Linked DNA regions of Lepisosteus oculatus. The protein of the gene in region 1 binds, or shares a complex with, the protein of each later gene. Links are inferred from orthologs where the notes say so. Each region holds a gene or a part of one and is shown in the gene's direction. Other genes may lie near its edges.

Region 1 (8,689 bases):
GCAGCCATAAACCTCTGGTAATATTGCACATGATTCTGGGCTGTGATCCAGGGCTCTCCACCCATGCTGCCTGGAGAAACGGCAGAGTTTGCCATCTCAGCACATTTTTACCTTTAAGGAAATTTATCAATCCCTGAGAAGAGGTGGGAATAGCGGGAAGATGGAGTGCACTGTAGACTAAAACGGTAAACGCTGATGCAAATGCAGGGAATATTTTCCAAATCTTTCTCCGAAAATAATCACCCAGGTGCAATGTGACACTTGCAGTATTCTGTAGGTGAAGTCAAAGGACTGGATTTCAGTAACTCTCTAGGATTCCATTGCTGTTGTGTATTGTTAATGCATGTGCAATAATATTTGAGAAGGTCATGGCTAAGGAATTATTATAAAGAAATTAAGTGGCCTTAATTAAGAAATCACCTTTGCTAAAAAGTGATTTTCTTTTGGGGGAGGGGTAAAATTGGGGTAGAAAAAGCAGATTGGAAGGGACTAGCGGATGCAGTTAGAATATAGATGTTTGCTTGCTAATACTTCAGTAAAGTTACTGAAAAAAACCTACAGATTTAGGTTTCTTTAATATTATCAATATTTTGTTTTTATATTGTTTTTTTTTCATTTTTTTACTTGGTTCCATTTAAGCCATGGGTATCAAAGATGTATACTTATAAACAAGATATATTACAGCGATTCAAGTAGAGAGCTGCCTCAGCATGTGTAAGCTGCAAAGGAACAAGTAAAGGTTTATTCCATGCTGAAAAGAGAAGAAAAAAAACAATGTTTCGGCTGTGGAGCCTTCTTCAGTGAACTTTTTCCTTTGCATATTACAGTGATTACAATTATATATGATTGTATCTTGAAAACTACCCCTATCAGCCATAATGTGAATATTGTTATGTTTTACATGAATCCATTGATATTTCTGTAAAAACTAAAACTACACAAGAGAGCAAAACTACATTATAGGAATGTTTCTTTGTTTTTGTAGCATAAAGGTTAGATATTAATGTTTCTGATATCTTGAATTTTAATACACTTTGTTAAAAACAAAAACTCTTTTTTAAGAATTGTTGTTCTTGCATCATGGTACCCTAAATGTTAAAAACATATTCAGTTGGGAATATTTATCATTTATTGTAACATCCTTGCAAAACATTGCTGAGCACTACACCAGACAAAGAAGGATTGTTACTTGTAGATTGTATATAATATCATTATCATGCCTGACTGCACTCCAGCATGCTGAATATCTTTAATGGCTCTGAAAAGGGTAATTAACATAACTGAAAAGCTCCAGCACTTTTGTGGTACAGCCCTGTGCCCAACAGGAAAGCCACACATCCATTTAGCGATTTTGTATTTTGTTATTTTGTAGATCTTCAACCTATAAACAAGTTTTCTTTGCTTCTGGATGGGGGCAAGTCGTACCACACAGAGCATTTTTTAAGAATTTGCAATAAAGTGCAAAGACGAAACCACAATCACACTTCAGAGATAGAGGGTGTTTTACAAATCCAGTAAACTGAGGCACATGTAGGACAGGAAATGTTACCTTAATTGTTTTATAAAGAAAATAAACTGAAAACCAGCTTTATACTAAAGGTTTCTGCTGTTCCTGAGAACTCCCAAACGGGTTCTCAGTATCATGATTACTTCTGTGGTTGACGGACTGGGGCCGCGCTGTCTGTCGTTAAAAGAATCCTCTCAAACATGTTGACACACATGAGAGCGATTTTCCTCAACCAGCAGACTGCAAGTAGCCACCAGGATTTGAAGGGAATCTTTCCTGAGCAGATGGGCTGCACTCTGAAATGATACTGAGACGAGCAAATCAGCCCTTAAAAGTAGAGAGGACTCCGAGGAAAGAATGAATAACAGGAACCAAAACTTGTACTACAGCTCTGCCGAAGAACGAACTCAACTGTGAGTGCCAGGGCCTCTCGTGTGCATCGCCACGTCTGTGGTGCTCACTGCACAGTCCCATTAGAGACTGTCACTGTTGACACTCCCGAAACTCAGACCTGCCTTTTGCATATGTTGTGTGCTATTGCACAGAGGTTTCAGTTTGAAGAAAAAGGGTTATAAATAAAATTATATTATCATGAACTGTCCATTGTTCATGCTGCTACTGCTGCCTTTTCATTCTCTGAATTTATTGCTGATATTTTGTTAAAATTACAGCTTGGTTTTATAGTGTATGAGGTACAAGGGCATTTGAAAAAGATTATTCTGCAAAGGAAGCATTATACTGCGATTATTTTGATATTAATTAGGCAGCACACCTATTTGCACTTTCTTCTTTATGTTTGTTTCTTTAGTAAATAAAGACCATAGGATATAATCTGTATCTTGTTGACACGCAATAAAGACCATGATTGCTCTAAGATGTTGTATTTCATAAAAAAATTGTTTTTGTTTTTAAAGTGAATGACCCATTATAGTGTCAAAAACGAGTCTCAATTTTTTTTACCAGAGTGTATCTGAGATATGATTTTGTTAATACTGGGAATCATTTACAGAGCAAGAATTTTTCTTTGTTGGCTTAATACGTAGAGAAAGGATTATAATTTTTAAACACAGTACTTGGATGTTGACCTGAAAGTCATCTTGTCATTGATCTGTATCTCACTGTCTCCCACTGTAGGCATTTAAAATGAAAGACTTCAGCTTGCTTTCTTGTTAAATTGATAAAAGATAAAAATCTTTTCTCCCCAGTGTAATAATCTTGGCCTTTCTGACTGCAGATGTCAATATGCATCTTTTGTGACTGCTTTTCCTTGACGATTAAAAACAAACCTAGTATTCATAGCCATTTTCCCCACTTACATACTGTATGTAAATTACAGTTTTCTTGAACACACTGATCAATGTGTGGCTGTACATTCAAAGCTAAATCTGTTAAGTCAAATATACCTGCTGATAAAAACGTAAGGAGGTTGTGACATCAGGTAAATATACTCCAGATGTTTTAAAGATAACAACTGATGCTGATATCTGGAGGTCAATGACAACGCCACCTGTGTCAATCTGTTTTGATTATTGTGCAGTTCTGGGTCTTTAAAATCTCTCTTATGATCAATATGTGAGAGCTGATATTCATTGCTCTACAACTGTGGAAAAGCATCTGGAGTAACAGGTTTTTTAACTGAACTGGGCAGGGCAGTGAGCTATGACTTACTGTACTGTTACATTTCTAAAAACACCTGTTGCAAGTGATGTGAAAGTCTACGATTATTAGGATAGTGAAAATATATAATTATTAAAAATATACAAAGAGAATTGAATATATGCTCTGGGATGTTATATTGTATTGTATATGGAGGACAAATCTGGATTTAAGTTTGGGAGACACAAAGCCCAATATTCCAATGCACACTTGACCACTGGGAATTTCAATGACCTGCTAAGATTAAAATGTAATCTGAATGCCAAAAAGAAAGCATGGCTCACAGTTTCACCCTTTGATGAAAGGGGATTGAGCCAACACTTGAAATGTAGAGCTACCTGTGAACAGAGAATTGCCACGCAACAGATGAGTTTTGGAAGCTTTTTATGAATTTTGTGTGGCATAATCTAATTGCAAATGAGAAAAGATGCTGTTTGCGTGGAAATCATATTTATAAATTATGTTATGGTTTACTGTAGGATCTAGATGTGAGGCTGAAAAAAGAAGTATTAAGGAAAATGTGGCACTTCTTAAGGCTTCCTAGCTTATGACAATGCTGGTGTACATTTTAACGTGAGTGGGTCATATTCTATGTGTCATACAATGCTGTAGCACTTTTTTTGTGCTTGCCTAGGGCGTTTTGAAAAACTCTCTACACAGTACATTCACTGCTGCAAAAATCCAAGGTCAAAGTCTTTGTCATTGACTGAAAATGAGTGCTGAGAAAGAAATGACAACTTACGGAACACAAAACCTGTGTTTGACAGCTTTGTTTGCTGGAATTAGTGAAAATATTGATTGCTCAAGAAGGCACTGTCTTTACGGTAGAAAAGCTGCTTTGCACGCTGACAATAGTTCTGTGTGGGTTGCTGCTCTGTGAAGGTTGGTGCACAAGAAAAAAAGATACTCAATTAAATTGAATGTTTTGTGCTTGTTTTTTTCCCCCACAGGGTTTTGAATATTAAATTAAAATAAATATAAAACGATGGATCTGCACTAGATAATAGAGTAAAATTATATTTGGCATGGTACTGTGTTTAGTTTTATAAACCAATTGTATCAAATGGGTATCTTTTCATTATCTGTGTCATGCCTACATCACATGAATTCATAATCTATATTAGATAACTGTGACTTGTTGCATTGAACTTATGGATAGCTCACACCCCCCCCCCCCCCCACACACACACACACACACACATTCCTATATGATGCATCAATACATGAAGTTAAATTTCTGCTAAATTCAAGCATTTATGTATCTGTAACCATGGACCATAGAACACACAGCAATTGTGATGTTTGAGTGATGAACCAGACACATTACATGGCCTCCAAGGGGTGTTCATGGCAGCCCCATTCATTCTTTCTCCACAGTGTAAGGTCCTTGGTCCGTATGCATTTGATACTTTAATCCAGAGTGACCTTCTGTTCCTTAGCCTATACAGTAGCTTGCTGCCTTTTTTCTTTGCTGTTTGTTTAAAGAAATTACACTTAAAACTGATACGGTTTAATCAGACTCAATCGGAGAAATCAAACTTTAATTTAATCTCGTCTTTGAATAGCTGTCTTACTGCTGGTAATCATGGTCATGGTGAAAACCATGATATTCAGCCTGTAAAGGTTTGTGCTATGCGATTCCCCTGGTGTGCTATGCGCTAGTCAATTAACATATTTCTCACAGAGGTTTGCAAACTATGCATATGATGTGTATCATCTTCCATGACATTATCCCCTACATCCTCAAGGTGACTTGCAGTCATGCAGTCTGTTTGGCACACTATCAATTGAAATGACAGAGATAGGTGAGCCCAATTTATTGTTGGAGAGATGCACTGTGACACAACAGACCATGGATTTAATACAATGGTGTGAATATCAAAACTCAAGTTAATCCCATCCAGCACTTTTCCTTCACTGACCTGCAGTCAGGTCAGCATGTGACTGCTGTATTTTTTTTTTTTGCTGCCTTTCCTCAGCATTGTAGTTTTAAGCTGAGCAAGGGAGGCTGTGGCTTGAATGAGAGGGATGTTTCATCCTGACCGGCACACACGCAGACACCACACACACACACACAGATTGAGTGAGAGAGGGAGGGATACAGAGCAGCAGAGAAAGGGAGGCAAAGAGCTAGAACGGAACTCTGATGGAGGATTCACATTAATAAGAGTAATCTGGAGGATTCTGGCTGCACAGAAGCTTTAATCTGCGTATCTGGATTTACACTGCAATTCAACAATACTAGCCATATATACTAGACGAAGGGGAGCAAGAGGAAGATCAAGAGGAAATTCTAACAATTTATATTTTAAAAGAACAACAGGGACGCTGTTTAATTTCATTCACAGGGAGAGGAGTGTTAACAGCACAAAAAAGCAGTTTAACAGGAGCTCCACTTGCATTTACGTGCACATTCTAAGTGGCTGCCTAAACATAAGCAAGACCTCTTGCATCCTTTTCCGTATAGCAGACTAGTCTCCTCCTTGAACATTGGAACTAAGACTGAAGGCTGCTCTCAGCAACACAGCAAGCCTGACAATGGGCGATAAAGGTACAAGGTAAGGATTTCTTTGACATGGGTCGTATTTATTATTCATGTATTCTATTGGGCTTTAGTTCATATGTGGTTTTCTATGTATAGTAGCGTACATTCATATAACATATGCCAAATTAAATCCTTTGATGTCGTAATTGTGTTGTTCTTGATGCAGTCTTTTGTTTGTCAGCCTAAGGCAGTATAAGTTTTTGTCCCCCCTCTCCTTGCATGAACGTTGAATGATGTATCACTCTGCAAGCATGCAGTAAGACGTGTTAGTCTGCTCACACCCTCATTATGGGTCTGTGTGACTGTAAGTGCTCATGCTTGCTGGCTTGCTGCGTATTTTTATGGAACCTCATAAAGGACCATCAGTATTGGAATAATAAGCCTTGATAGAGCTCCGCCAGCAGGAGTGCACAACTAATCATGTATGTGCTAGATTTGCCAGGTTGTTATGGCACCACAATTAGCAGCTCATCAAGGGTCCGTCAGAAAACTGATACTTCACTATGTGTGTTCCTTTTAATGGATGCATTAAAAAGCTGATGCGGATACATAGGTATTTAAATTGGGTTTAACTATCTTTTCAAAGTTTGGACGCCAGTGAGCATACTCTTATCAGTGACCTATATGATAATGTTCACATATCTTCATGTCTTTTCACACTGTAGGTTAACAACCATTGTGATCTAGTGAGATATTCTAAAATTAGGAACTTTTTTCTCTGGTACACAGATTTTGGCAGACACCCATCAGAACTGTTTGACATTCCCTTTGATATACTGGTCTCTCTGGAATCTAGGAGATACATCCTTCTAATGGGATTTAAGATAGTTTGAGGGTCTGTACTGTAGATCAGCTACGACACCAATAGGCCTAGATTTCAAGGATCATAGCATCATGTAATGTTTGTATCATGATCTCCCATTAGTAAGGCAAGCTTTTCTTAACTAAATTCCTTTAGAACTTGAACAACTTAAGGAATTAAAAGCAAAACATTCGATTTCAATGAGAAATTGCTCTGACTAGTGACTCAAAGTGATTTACAACTTTCATTGGAGACTCAAAATATGATTTACTGTACATAATTTCTCCTCTTTCTGAAGGAAAAAGGCATGCAAAGGGCAATTTGCTTGAAGCAGAATGCGTTTGCAATTTGCTTCTTTCTGGTTGGTTGCCCATCACTTGTTTCAGTCCAAGTTCTTGTTCTTGTGAGCTCAAAAGTAACTTGGAATACCGCTGTAGTCAAACACTGCATCTCAGCAAATGTTCCAGCCTTTCACCATTGATACAGCCCAGTTTTCAACACTTGTTTAAAGTGCCAAGAAATAGGTGTCTCTGGATAAATGCTTTGTTTCTCTATTTTATTTATTCCTTATTTTTATTTTGTTCTTATTCGTGATGCTGTGTGTGGTTTCACTCACTCAATCACTTCACTTTTAACAAATTGGAGGTATTTTAAAAGCCTTTAATCTAAGACATTGTGAGACATTTTGCCTGGAAATGCATTGCTCAAAAACGCTGCTTCATACCTAATGAAGTGAAGCTCATGTTTAGCCATCTTGAGTCTATTCCTCTTCAAATTATTGTTCATTCTTTTTCAATCAAACCCCTGATTAAATTGATTTTGTGTTTACAATGATGGCAAGGTTTGCAAAACTAAAGACATAATTTACAGACTGATCATATTTTGCCAAAAGCTCATTTAAATTACATGACACTATTCAGAAATTCTTGTCATAGAAGCAGATGCACAACAATTCTGGGAAAACCATTATGAACAATGTGTTCCAATAGCTACTATATTTTCACTGTTTGAGGGTTTTGATTAAGTTACATGACAAAAGTAAATGTTTCTTATTGCAGATGTTGTACAGCAAACATAACAGTTTTAACTTGTACTTATAGAATGTTATCTGTATTTTGCAAGAGTGATGATACACTTAAAGAGTCAAAAGATTTTGACTGCGGCCTTTTTTTGTATATTCCTGGTTGTTATATTCCTGTTTGCTCCATATGGACAGTGCTGTATACTGTACTGTACCTATATATAAAAAGAACTAAAAAGCAATACTTGCCCTTATCAAAATCTGATATTAGTATCAAGACAGATTCAACATACAGATGGGGCAAAGAAATGCAGAGAACTGAGAAATTGTCCCAACCTGAAGGAGTATTTGCACCAACGGCATTAGCAGTGTTTAGGCAGCAAGAAAGCCCTTTATTCACCATCTTCAGAAACAGGAAAGGAGTCAAAGTGGAGCAGCAAGCTTACCTAGGCTGACCCATATGTGAGGCAGAAGAAACACCTGTTTCCCTATATGTCTGATCCTTAGCTAGGCCTTTTTCCTCAAGAAAGAAATTAGGCAACAAGAAAGAAATTAAAACAGAAGAAAGGCTACAAACAACAGGAAACTCTTAGCTCATTTGGTTGCTGATTGCTCAAGATCCTATAGTATCAGATTCAACAACATAGATGAGCAAAGGAAAATAAAAATGATAACAAAAAAGGTCAGGAAGGTGTTTACCACTTGAAACTGAGATCTACAGAGAGATTAGGCACCTTAGCTCACTGTTCAATGCCATCCTGAGAATGGAGGCACATTAATCAGTCCCTGGAGTTCTTAATCACTTAATTAGTTGAAACACAAGAACTGTTTATCATTATGAAATGTGAACCAGTTTCAGTTGGTTTCCACTTGTGTATTGTGATATCTTGTTTTCCACTGTTGCTGAGAGCAGGAAACTAACCTGTAATGATCAGATCTGGTGCTCTGTTGGTGTTTGGTATTGATTAACGTAAAGCCTTCAGTATTGCAGCTAAGTTACAATCCCACAAAGGCTCAGCAGGAGTTAGATATTAGAACAATGGAAAATGTATTTCATAAACAAAAGAAAAGCTAACAAACCTACAGTACAGGCAGATAATGAGTGTTCCCTAAGGAGGAGGCAGAGGGTCTTTGTTTCCCAATGCATCACACCAAATC
Region 2 (8,584 bases), on another chromosome or scaffold:
CCCTTCTTGCAAACTTGGTAATTACTGTATATTTTTCCCCAGATAACTGCTTTATTATGGTTCTACCAAGGCCACCTAAACAAGCTACACTTCTTAATTCATGTCCTGAGTGCATGTCTTCTGGCTTGCAGAATTCTTGCAAATGACTGTTTATTGTCTCTGTAGATTTCTATGGCTTTATAGTTGATTCCCTGGCTCTAGAAAGCAGAACACAGTGATACAGGATTAAACAAGCTGAGAAATGAGCACCCAGGAGGGTAGGAATTATTAGTCAATCTGAGACTGCGCTCTCTGCGTAGATGTGTTAAATGGCATTTCTGGAGACCAATGTGCCTCCAAGTGTCAGAAGGGAAAGCTGCGAGGAGGATGTTTGTCAGTCATTTTCAGTGTTGCTCTGATCCCTGGATTTTCCAAACTAATCTCTACTGAAAAGGGAAAAGTAGTGATTAGGCACATGTCTGTTGCCATGTTCTAGAGATTAATTAACCAGTACAAAGTACAAGGCACAAAAAGAGATTTTTGACTGTATGTCAAAAAGACTTGGACCATGGAATATAATAGTAACAATCCCACAATGCTGCATTCTTTGAATTGTTCTTTTATACAGTAAGCGCTTGGTAAGTCAAATTAAATAAATCAAGCTCTCCTTTCTCTCCCATTACATTGATTGTTCTGTGGCATTAAATGTCTGCAAACCTGTAAAAAGCTTAGCGTTTGGTGAGTGAATTCCAGTTACTCTTGCTGTCATAATCTGAACACCCTCAGCAGTAGAGGTGCACAGAACTGAAACGACAAACAACACGAAATATTGAATAAACTGAAAAGATGTCAATACAGCTCAAGTTTTGTTTAGCAGCACACATTGCTGCCTTTGATTCATGACACCTGCTGAAATCTCAAAATGACTAAATGAGGCAGCTGATCATAAGTAACTCCACCCAGACCTTTGTGGCAAACCTGGTGCTGTAGCTTTCAACGTGCTCATGCTGAGCACCCTCTGCTGTGTGCACACCACACAGCGGGGGTCGTGGGGCCGGACTGAACTCGGATCAAAACAATTCTCATTCGGCAGGCTTTGACCCTCAGGGCAAACGGGTCACCACGAGGAACACACTCCCCCGGGGCTGTGGAGGACTGCGCCCAGCCTCATGCTGCTGAGTGAGTGAAGCCGGGGCTGGCCAGCGCAGCATCCTCAGGAGGGCGCTGTGACCGTGCGGCGTTCCTCGGGGTCACACTGGTGAACCCGACCAAATTCTTCAGTGCCAGGGCGCGTGGTTTTCTCGATAGGGCTGCTGGAATAGCGTCAACCAGCTCCTTCATCATTCGTAGCAGCGGCCTCACCACCCAAGCAGCCGGCCATGAGGGGTCCAGACATGGACCCAGACACTGTCGCCTCGAACCTGGGTCACAACAGACAGAGCCGGTTTACCCGGCCAGTACAGATTCCAAAATGATGGAGGGGCCAGGGAGGGAGAATTCTAAAGTAGAGAATCATTGAGGCATTTAATGTCAAATAAATGGATGTAAATTGCTCGCCCTCTGATATGTCTTCTGACTCATCTGGCTGTGCCTGGAGTACCGTAATTACTGTAGCCACCGGGGCTGGGAAGGCCGGGGGACAGGCCTGACAGATTAACGAAGCAGTGAAACCCTTTGACGTACGGAGTATAAATGGTATCAAACACGGGTGAAGCGATGACTCATTCGTTTTTTTCCCCATCCTTGACTGGACGCTGGAACACTGCTGCTTTCAACTCACTGACAGCCTACTGTGGGCGGTTAGACAATAAAAAATAAATATTATAACCCCCACCCCCCCCCCAAGGTCTTTTTTGTTCCTGTTCTGCTGTATTTCACACTTTGGTTTGTCCTATTCCCATGAGCATCCCGAAAGCTAACCTAGAATTCCTAACCAGCTCCGGAATACCGGAATATAGTACGGCCTCGTTGTGAGAGAGAAAGCCAGGAGCCGATGGACCACTGCAAGCCGAGAACTCAGGTGTCAAGACACCTTTTCCTTTTCAGTTCTAAGAAAACTGGTTCAGCTCAATCTAATACCCCCGTTGATTCAGTTCGAGAGCGGTACTCACTTGACTTGCTGTGGTTGGGCTGCAGACACCAGAGAGCTTGTGTTTGAGGCGTGTTAACAAGTTCATTTCACAGCCGTCGGAGTGATGGGCATTTTAGGTACACCACTTGAAGTGTGACTTTTTTTTCTGGTACTGGATTCCAGTGCTTATTTCCGATCACATGGTTTCCATTAATTCCTTTTGGGAGGAGATTCAGTTAATTACAACCACAAAACTGGTCTGATCACCAACCACGATGACCAAAGTTAGTTGCTCCTGTATTCAGGTCTCAACGGGACAGATGTGGTTGTCATTAGGTGACACTGGTGACTCATCCCAGTTTGACTCGCATTTCATTCCGCTAATGATCAAATTTAACCCCTGGCACGCATGTTGTTTTATTGTTGCACTTCTACCACTGTCTGAACATGAGATCTTCCAACACATAATGTCAGCACAATATTATACGTATGGTATCCCAATGGTGCAGTTTCAGTGACAATTCCAATGGCTTGCAGAAGTCATTGAAGATCCATACCGCATTGAATTCTGTCTCATAATTTACAAACAACAAAAAAAGGACTAAATATGACGTAACAGGAGAAAATGATACATGAAGAAAACACACCTGAAGCCATATGCCCAGTTCAGTAAAGGAAGAATCACTTATTTATCAATGTTTATAGGCAGATGCAGCTCACCTGTGCCACCAGACCACTCCTGCAACCCGTCACCTCAAAATGACGAATGTGTCCGTGTTCAGTTTCTCAGAATACACTTCTCAGCGAGCTAACTCACGGCGAGTTTTACACCGGGTCCTGTTCTGGCTGCAAGCTAGTGGCAGGTTAGGGCCCCTGGACCCCGACTGGAAAGCTGTGGGCTCGAATCCTGGGTGGGCTCCAGCTGTTGCATCCTGGGAGAAGGACGTCTCTCCAGCTTCCCCAGCCGAAGGCTTGACTGTATCGGTGGGTTAGCTAGAGCAATGGCCATCACAATGTACTTACTAAATTACTACTAATTCTAGTAAATAAATTCCTTAAAATGAAGCCACTTAGGTGTCTTAAATGATTAGTACTGTATTAAATCCCCTTGCTTAGTGTCCTAACATATCCCAGCTGACCCTGTGCTAATTTTGTGTCTGTGACTAAATACACTGGGTAAAGAAAGATACTGCCTTTTAGATTGGGCATTTCCCAATATCATAAATCATTGATTTTGCAATAAATATACTTACCAAAACAATTGTGGGAAAGTAGTGGACAAGATGGGAGAGACCAAAGCACTGATGTAATTTGTGGGAAACACACTGACAAAGTGTCAAATCCTTCATCTACCCTTCCTGTTTCAGGGGAATGTTTATTGAATCGGAACATTTTCCATTCGTTTCTTTTTAGGCTCTATTTAAAAAAAAACAGGGCTCATGTTAAATACACCACCAGGCAACTCCCAGCTGTGGGTGGCCCTGTGCTAGAAACTTTCTTTGCAAACCACCAGGATGGGGGAAGGAACGGGAACAGAGATCAGATCATGACAGAAGAGCCATTTGCTCATGCTACTGAAACTCGAGCACTAGAGCCGGTGAGTGCTCACACGCGCATTCAAACCCCACGTTCGGGGATGAAAGCCGTTCCCATCTTCACACATCAAGAGCATTTACATCAGCCTAGACGTCCTCAGGCATGCTGGAGCACTTATTCCAGCTTGGCAGGACCTGCTGGACTGGAAGATGCTCTCAACTCGTTGTCCCTCCTGTGGGGGGTGCCGAGAACTCACTTCTACCGCCTCCTTCTCGGCGCGCAAAGGAGAGAAATTCTGCGCGCCGCGTCCGAGATGGACAGGCAGGGTTTTCTGAAGAACAGCTGGTTGTGACCACGAGTGTGTCCTTTTCAATTCGGTATTGAAAGACAATCCCGGGAGAGCCAGGGTATTGAAAACAGGCGAATGGCTGTTTGTGTGTGTGTGTCAAGGATGAGTTTTATAATTCACGCACGCTGTTCTCTAGAAAGTGGGGCAGGACAGGTATTACAGTTGCTATGGCTAATTAGCAAGCAGTGAGGACGCTCAGCCTGAGCACGGCAGCATTCTTCCACATACCCTCAAACGGTTAAACCACATCAATCCTAAAGAGTGCTCTTCGGCTTTTAAACCGCAGAGAACAAGGTTTCGACTCTTAACTATGGGTGCTGCAAAAGGAGGTTGTGTAGAAATGATCACATTGTCATTTTTCTCCCCGGGTATGGGCGTTAAAGAAAAAAAGCGTACAAGGCCGGAATGTGAAATTTTGTAACAGTGGTTTTACTTTCAATTCAGACTTGAACACTCAAATAGTAGAGATGCTTATTTGCTGTATCGGTTAAGCCCAGATGTCCGGGGTATTGCTGGTTTGAGTCTGGACAGTCAGCCAGCAGTGAGAGGGATTTTTCAGAAAAATTTATTCGAATTCCGCTTGCAGGGTTATCGTCGATTTAGGGCAAACGGGCACGTCTGTGACTCGCCTGGCACCTCTCATTCTGGGTGCGAATCGGCGCTCACTGTCTCGTAGACCCTGTAAGACTCACAAAGTCAAAAGAAGGACGATAGACGCCGAAAAAAAGGCACACCTCCCGAGGAACAAAACTGAGCTCTGCGGGTGATGTTTTAAAGTATCCTTGTTGTTACAAAAACACAAATGTTATTATCCTTTTGTTACTTGGGAAAACGTGAGTTTAAATACAAATATGAACAAGAAAGCTAAGATGCCGTTGATAAGACAGATCTGAGGCAGACGCAACACTGTGTCGCCAAGTAGTAATATTGTCCTCTGTTCGCATTCGTTTCTCCAAGTACGCATTACTAATTATAGCTTTCAGGTTGAAAAAAAAAACTCATCGTTGTTCACCAGAAAGACAGGGTTTCATCTTTAGATCAGCATCGATGCAACAAATGGACAGTAAATAACAGTATGTACCTAAAGTATAAGAAACCGCCCTGCATATAGAATCGTTGTCGTTTAACATTTAATTTTTAAAGGTGTTTGCGATTCTTTGGGGGGGGGGAGGGGGGTGTATCTGAGGAAACCTGGTTATATAAAACAGGGAAACGATCAGACTTCATGAATGAAGTGGTTTGCGTCAGTGCCCGAGGTCTGAGCAGAGAGGCAGCGCGCCTCCTCCTCCGCCAGATAAAAAGCCAACTTCTGGGGGAGCGGCGCTCTGGGCTGCGCTGAACACCGCCGAGCGCTCCCTGCCTCTCTCCGCGCCGTCCGCCCCGCGTTCCCCGGGAAAAAAAGGGAGGAGGAGGAGGAGGAGAAGCAGAAGAAGAAAAAGAAGTTGCCCGGCCACACAATGGACGAGACCTCCACGCTGCTGGGCCGAAACTTCTCCCGGGACTTCCAGATGCTCAGCCAGTACCTGCTGGCGGCGGCCGGGAACGCCTCGCGCCCGGCGAACGCGACGCCCGGGGAGCACGAGGAGGACAGCCTGGACGTCAGCACGGACATCTACTCCAAGGCTCTGGTCACCGCCATTTACATCGCCCTGTTCGTCGTCGGCTCCCTGGGCAACTCCATCACGCTGTACACCCTGGTCAGGAGGAAGACCTTGCAGAACCTCCAGAGCACGGTGCATTACCACCTGGCCAGCCTGGCGGTGTCCGACATCCTCATCCTGCTCCTCTGCATGCCCATAGAGCTGTACAACTTCATCTGGGTCCACTACCCGTGGGCTTTTGGGGGAGCCGTTTGCAAAGGGTATTACTTCTTGAGAGACGGCTGCTCCTACGCCACGGCGCTCAACATCGCCAGCCTCAGCGTGGAGAGGTACATGGCCATCTGCCACCCCTTCAAGGCCAAAAGCATCATGTCCAGGAGCAGAACAAAAAAGCTGATCAGCGCTATCTGGGTGGCGTCGTTTCTCCTGGCGACCCCCATGCTGTTCACCATGGGCCAGACTTACACCAACAACGTTCAAATCTGCACCACCATAGTCTCCACGCACACGGCCAAGATCGTCCTGCAGGTGAGTGAAAGGGACTTCGCGACAAGACAAGAAACCCCCCAAAACAAAAAAGCGCTTTTCTCGCACCCGAGCCACCAGCTCAGCTCCGGGCGAATCGAGTGGAGAAACACGGTGGCGCGTAAAAACAGTCGGTCGACTGTCCTAAACCTGTTCTGTAACATTCATAACACAGTTACGTAGTATTTGGGTAGTGTTATTAAACTCTAACAACGATAATAAGTCATAAGTAGAGTCGGTAAGACATTTTTTAAACATTATCCCGCGCCAAGGACTACCTGTTGCTTGTTTAACTTTTACCACATCTTTAAAAAAATAAAACGATCGTCAGAAAACGCCGGCATGTACCGTTAACGTTGCGGGCAGCAGGAACGGCCCCAGCGGAACCGCACGACTCCCGGGCCCAGCCGCTGAGGCAGTGCGGCCGGCACTGCGCCACTTCCACACGGCCCGGACTCGACAGACTTGGAGAGAGCTCCGTCGCTCTGTTCAGTACGGGTGTCCTTTAAACAACCCGGTAAGAGTAAAAAAAAAAAAGTCCAGATTTATAGAAAAGACATGAAGCAGATCTGGACTGTCTGAATCCAACAGAAACACACAGATACCTCAGTACTTGACACTTATTCTCCCCACCAAGACACGCTCTACGTGACGTTTACTGTTTAAAACGAAACGGAAGAATGTGCTCAATGGGTATAATTAATGTCATTACAGTCGAGAGTGCTTCAATTACACCTGCCTGCGCCGCGGTTTCTGGTGGTACAGTACATGTCGTGTATCGCGCTGTGTGATGGAGGAAACTGGTAAAAAAATAAAATAATCATTCTTCTTTAATACATAGAACAAGTCGTGTGGTCTTGTAATATATGGAAAAAATAGATTGGCTTACTTAAGAAATATTTATGCACCGTTGTTAGTTTTAGGTTTGGTTTTCTGTTTTCTAAAACGACCCTTAGAAGTCACCTAAAATTTGAAAGATAAAAATGTCCAGTCGTTATTTTTAAATATGTTCACTTCTCGTCGTACAGGAGATTTTCCCCATTCTAACAGGAATAATATTTACCCTTGACAGATCACACCTTCTGTATAAATTATCGCAAAATGTTGGTCCCGAAAATGAAAAAAACAACAAAAAAACAACACAATTAATGCTACTGTAAGTGCGTCGAAACTGTGCTGTTAGAAGACACAGCCATCCAGCCCTGCGCAGCACAGAGCGCACTTCAGGAATGTTCTCCGGCTGGGTCACGTCGTGGACATTAGAACTACCGATTATGCGTTACAATTGCCCAGAAAGCAATAGCCACAACAATAAAACATAATATATTACAATAGATTTTACCCTGTGCAATAAGCAATATTCACAAATGCGTTCTTGCTCACAAAGTCATCCCATCACAGTGCGTGGTATGGGATACATTGCACTTTGCACACACGGGCTGGGAGCATTTCAATTACATCCACGATGTCAGAGTGTTCTGATGAGATTGTTTTGACAGATATACACCTTAACCCTGACGTGGCAGTAGGAGCTTGGCTCTGCTGTGCGGCCACCAGAGATTCAGAGTTTGGACCGCCTGAAGTCTGCAATACAGTGGAGGCTGAGCTCGAAGCAGCATTCTTCCCCATTTTAAAACCCACACTCTGTGTGCAGGAGAGGGAAAGCAGACAGCCCGCTTGGCTCGGCTGTATTTTTCATGGGGAATGTTGGAATTGTGTTCCTGCGCAGGGAGAGATCTCCAAAGGAAAAGATGAGGTTGTCTAGGTGACAAGATCTGCGTTTCTGTTGAGCCGATGCAGGCAGGCAGCGAAATACTGTACCTTTGAAATGTTTCCAATTTCACAAGTGCTTCACTGCTGTGTTTTAATGCTCAGCGTGTAAGAAATGTAAAAGCAGAACAGCAGTGTAGAGGGTAAAATCAACTCACAGAAGAGTTTTAGAAGCCCTGTAACACAGGCATTGCAGCACCCAGGGGGTAGACTGCCAAATCGCTTTCAAAAACCTCTTATCCAGTACAGGGTCGCGGAAAAGCCAGAGCCTATCACAGGAAGCAACGGGCACAGGGCAGGGTACACCCTGGGTTGCACGCCAGTCTATCCCACGGCACACACACTCACACCAGGGCCAGTTTTCCCAGAAGCCAATTAAACTACCCAGCAACAAAGCCGGAGCACCCATAGGAGACCCATGCAAACACGGGGATAACATACAGACCCAACGCAGACAGCACCCCAGCGCTGTGCCACTGCGCCACGAGCTCGAATCCTTTTCTACAGACAACCTTCTCAAAAAATGTCAAGATTTAGCGTTTTTTTTGGGGTGTAACTGGAATATGCTTCATTTCAAACGACTTTCCGAAACTAGCCAGTCACTGTACCTGCAGTCATGGGAGGGTGAGACTTTTACAGTACAGTAGCCACTGCGGATCTGACAAGGTCGAAGCTGGAGCCTGGACTTCTGGTGCTAAAGCATTCTTACCTGTCATTGCTCTTCGTTTACCTGCTCCTTTTTCTTGGTTTCCA

What was found.
Region 2: the proteins of beta-arrestin-1 (region 1) and ntsr1 are in contact, whole or in part, in a cryo-EM structure (PDB 6UP7), measured with the Homo sapiens proteins. The link is inferred for Lepisosteus oculatus from reciprocal best matches to the Homo sapiens genes ARRB1 and NTSR1. Residues at the interface, in NP_004032.2 of Homo sapiens: Tyr63, Arg65, Asp67, Leu68, Val70, Leu71, Gly72, Leu73, Thr74, Phe75, Arg76, Lys77, Asn245, Thr246, Ala247, Gln248, Tyr249, Lys250, Lys284, Arg285, Gly286; in NP_002522.2 of Homo sapiens: Ser93, Leu94, Gln95, Ser96, Leu97, Gln98, Thr100, Val101, Arg166, Ile170, Pro173, Lys177, Phe286, Ser287, Met288, Ala289, Ile290, Ala297, Leu298, Gly301, Ser368, Asn370.

What each region holds. Positions count from the first base shown.
Region 1 is NC_090700.1:2,564,183-2,572,871, reverse strand, and holds the start of beta-arrestin-1, read left to right. Parts: upstream 1-5,168; 5' UTR 5,169-5,701; coding exon 5,702-5,721; intron 5,722-8,689. UniProt on the Homo sapiens protein: Functions in regulating agonist-mediated G-protein coupled receptor (GPCR) signaling by mediating both receptor desensitization and resensitization processes.
Region 2 is NC_090711.1:3,524,415-3,532,998, reverse strand, and holds the start of ntsr1 (neurotensin receptor type 1), read left to right. Parts: upstream 1-5,126; 5' UTR 5,127-5,392; coding exon 5,393-6,064; intron 6,065-8,584. UniProt on the Homo sapiens protein: G-protein coupled receptor for the tridecapeptide neurotensin (NTS). Signaling is effected via G proteins that activate a phosphatidylinositol-calcium second messenger system.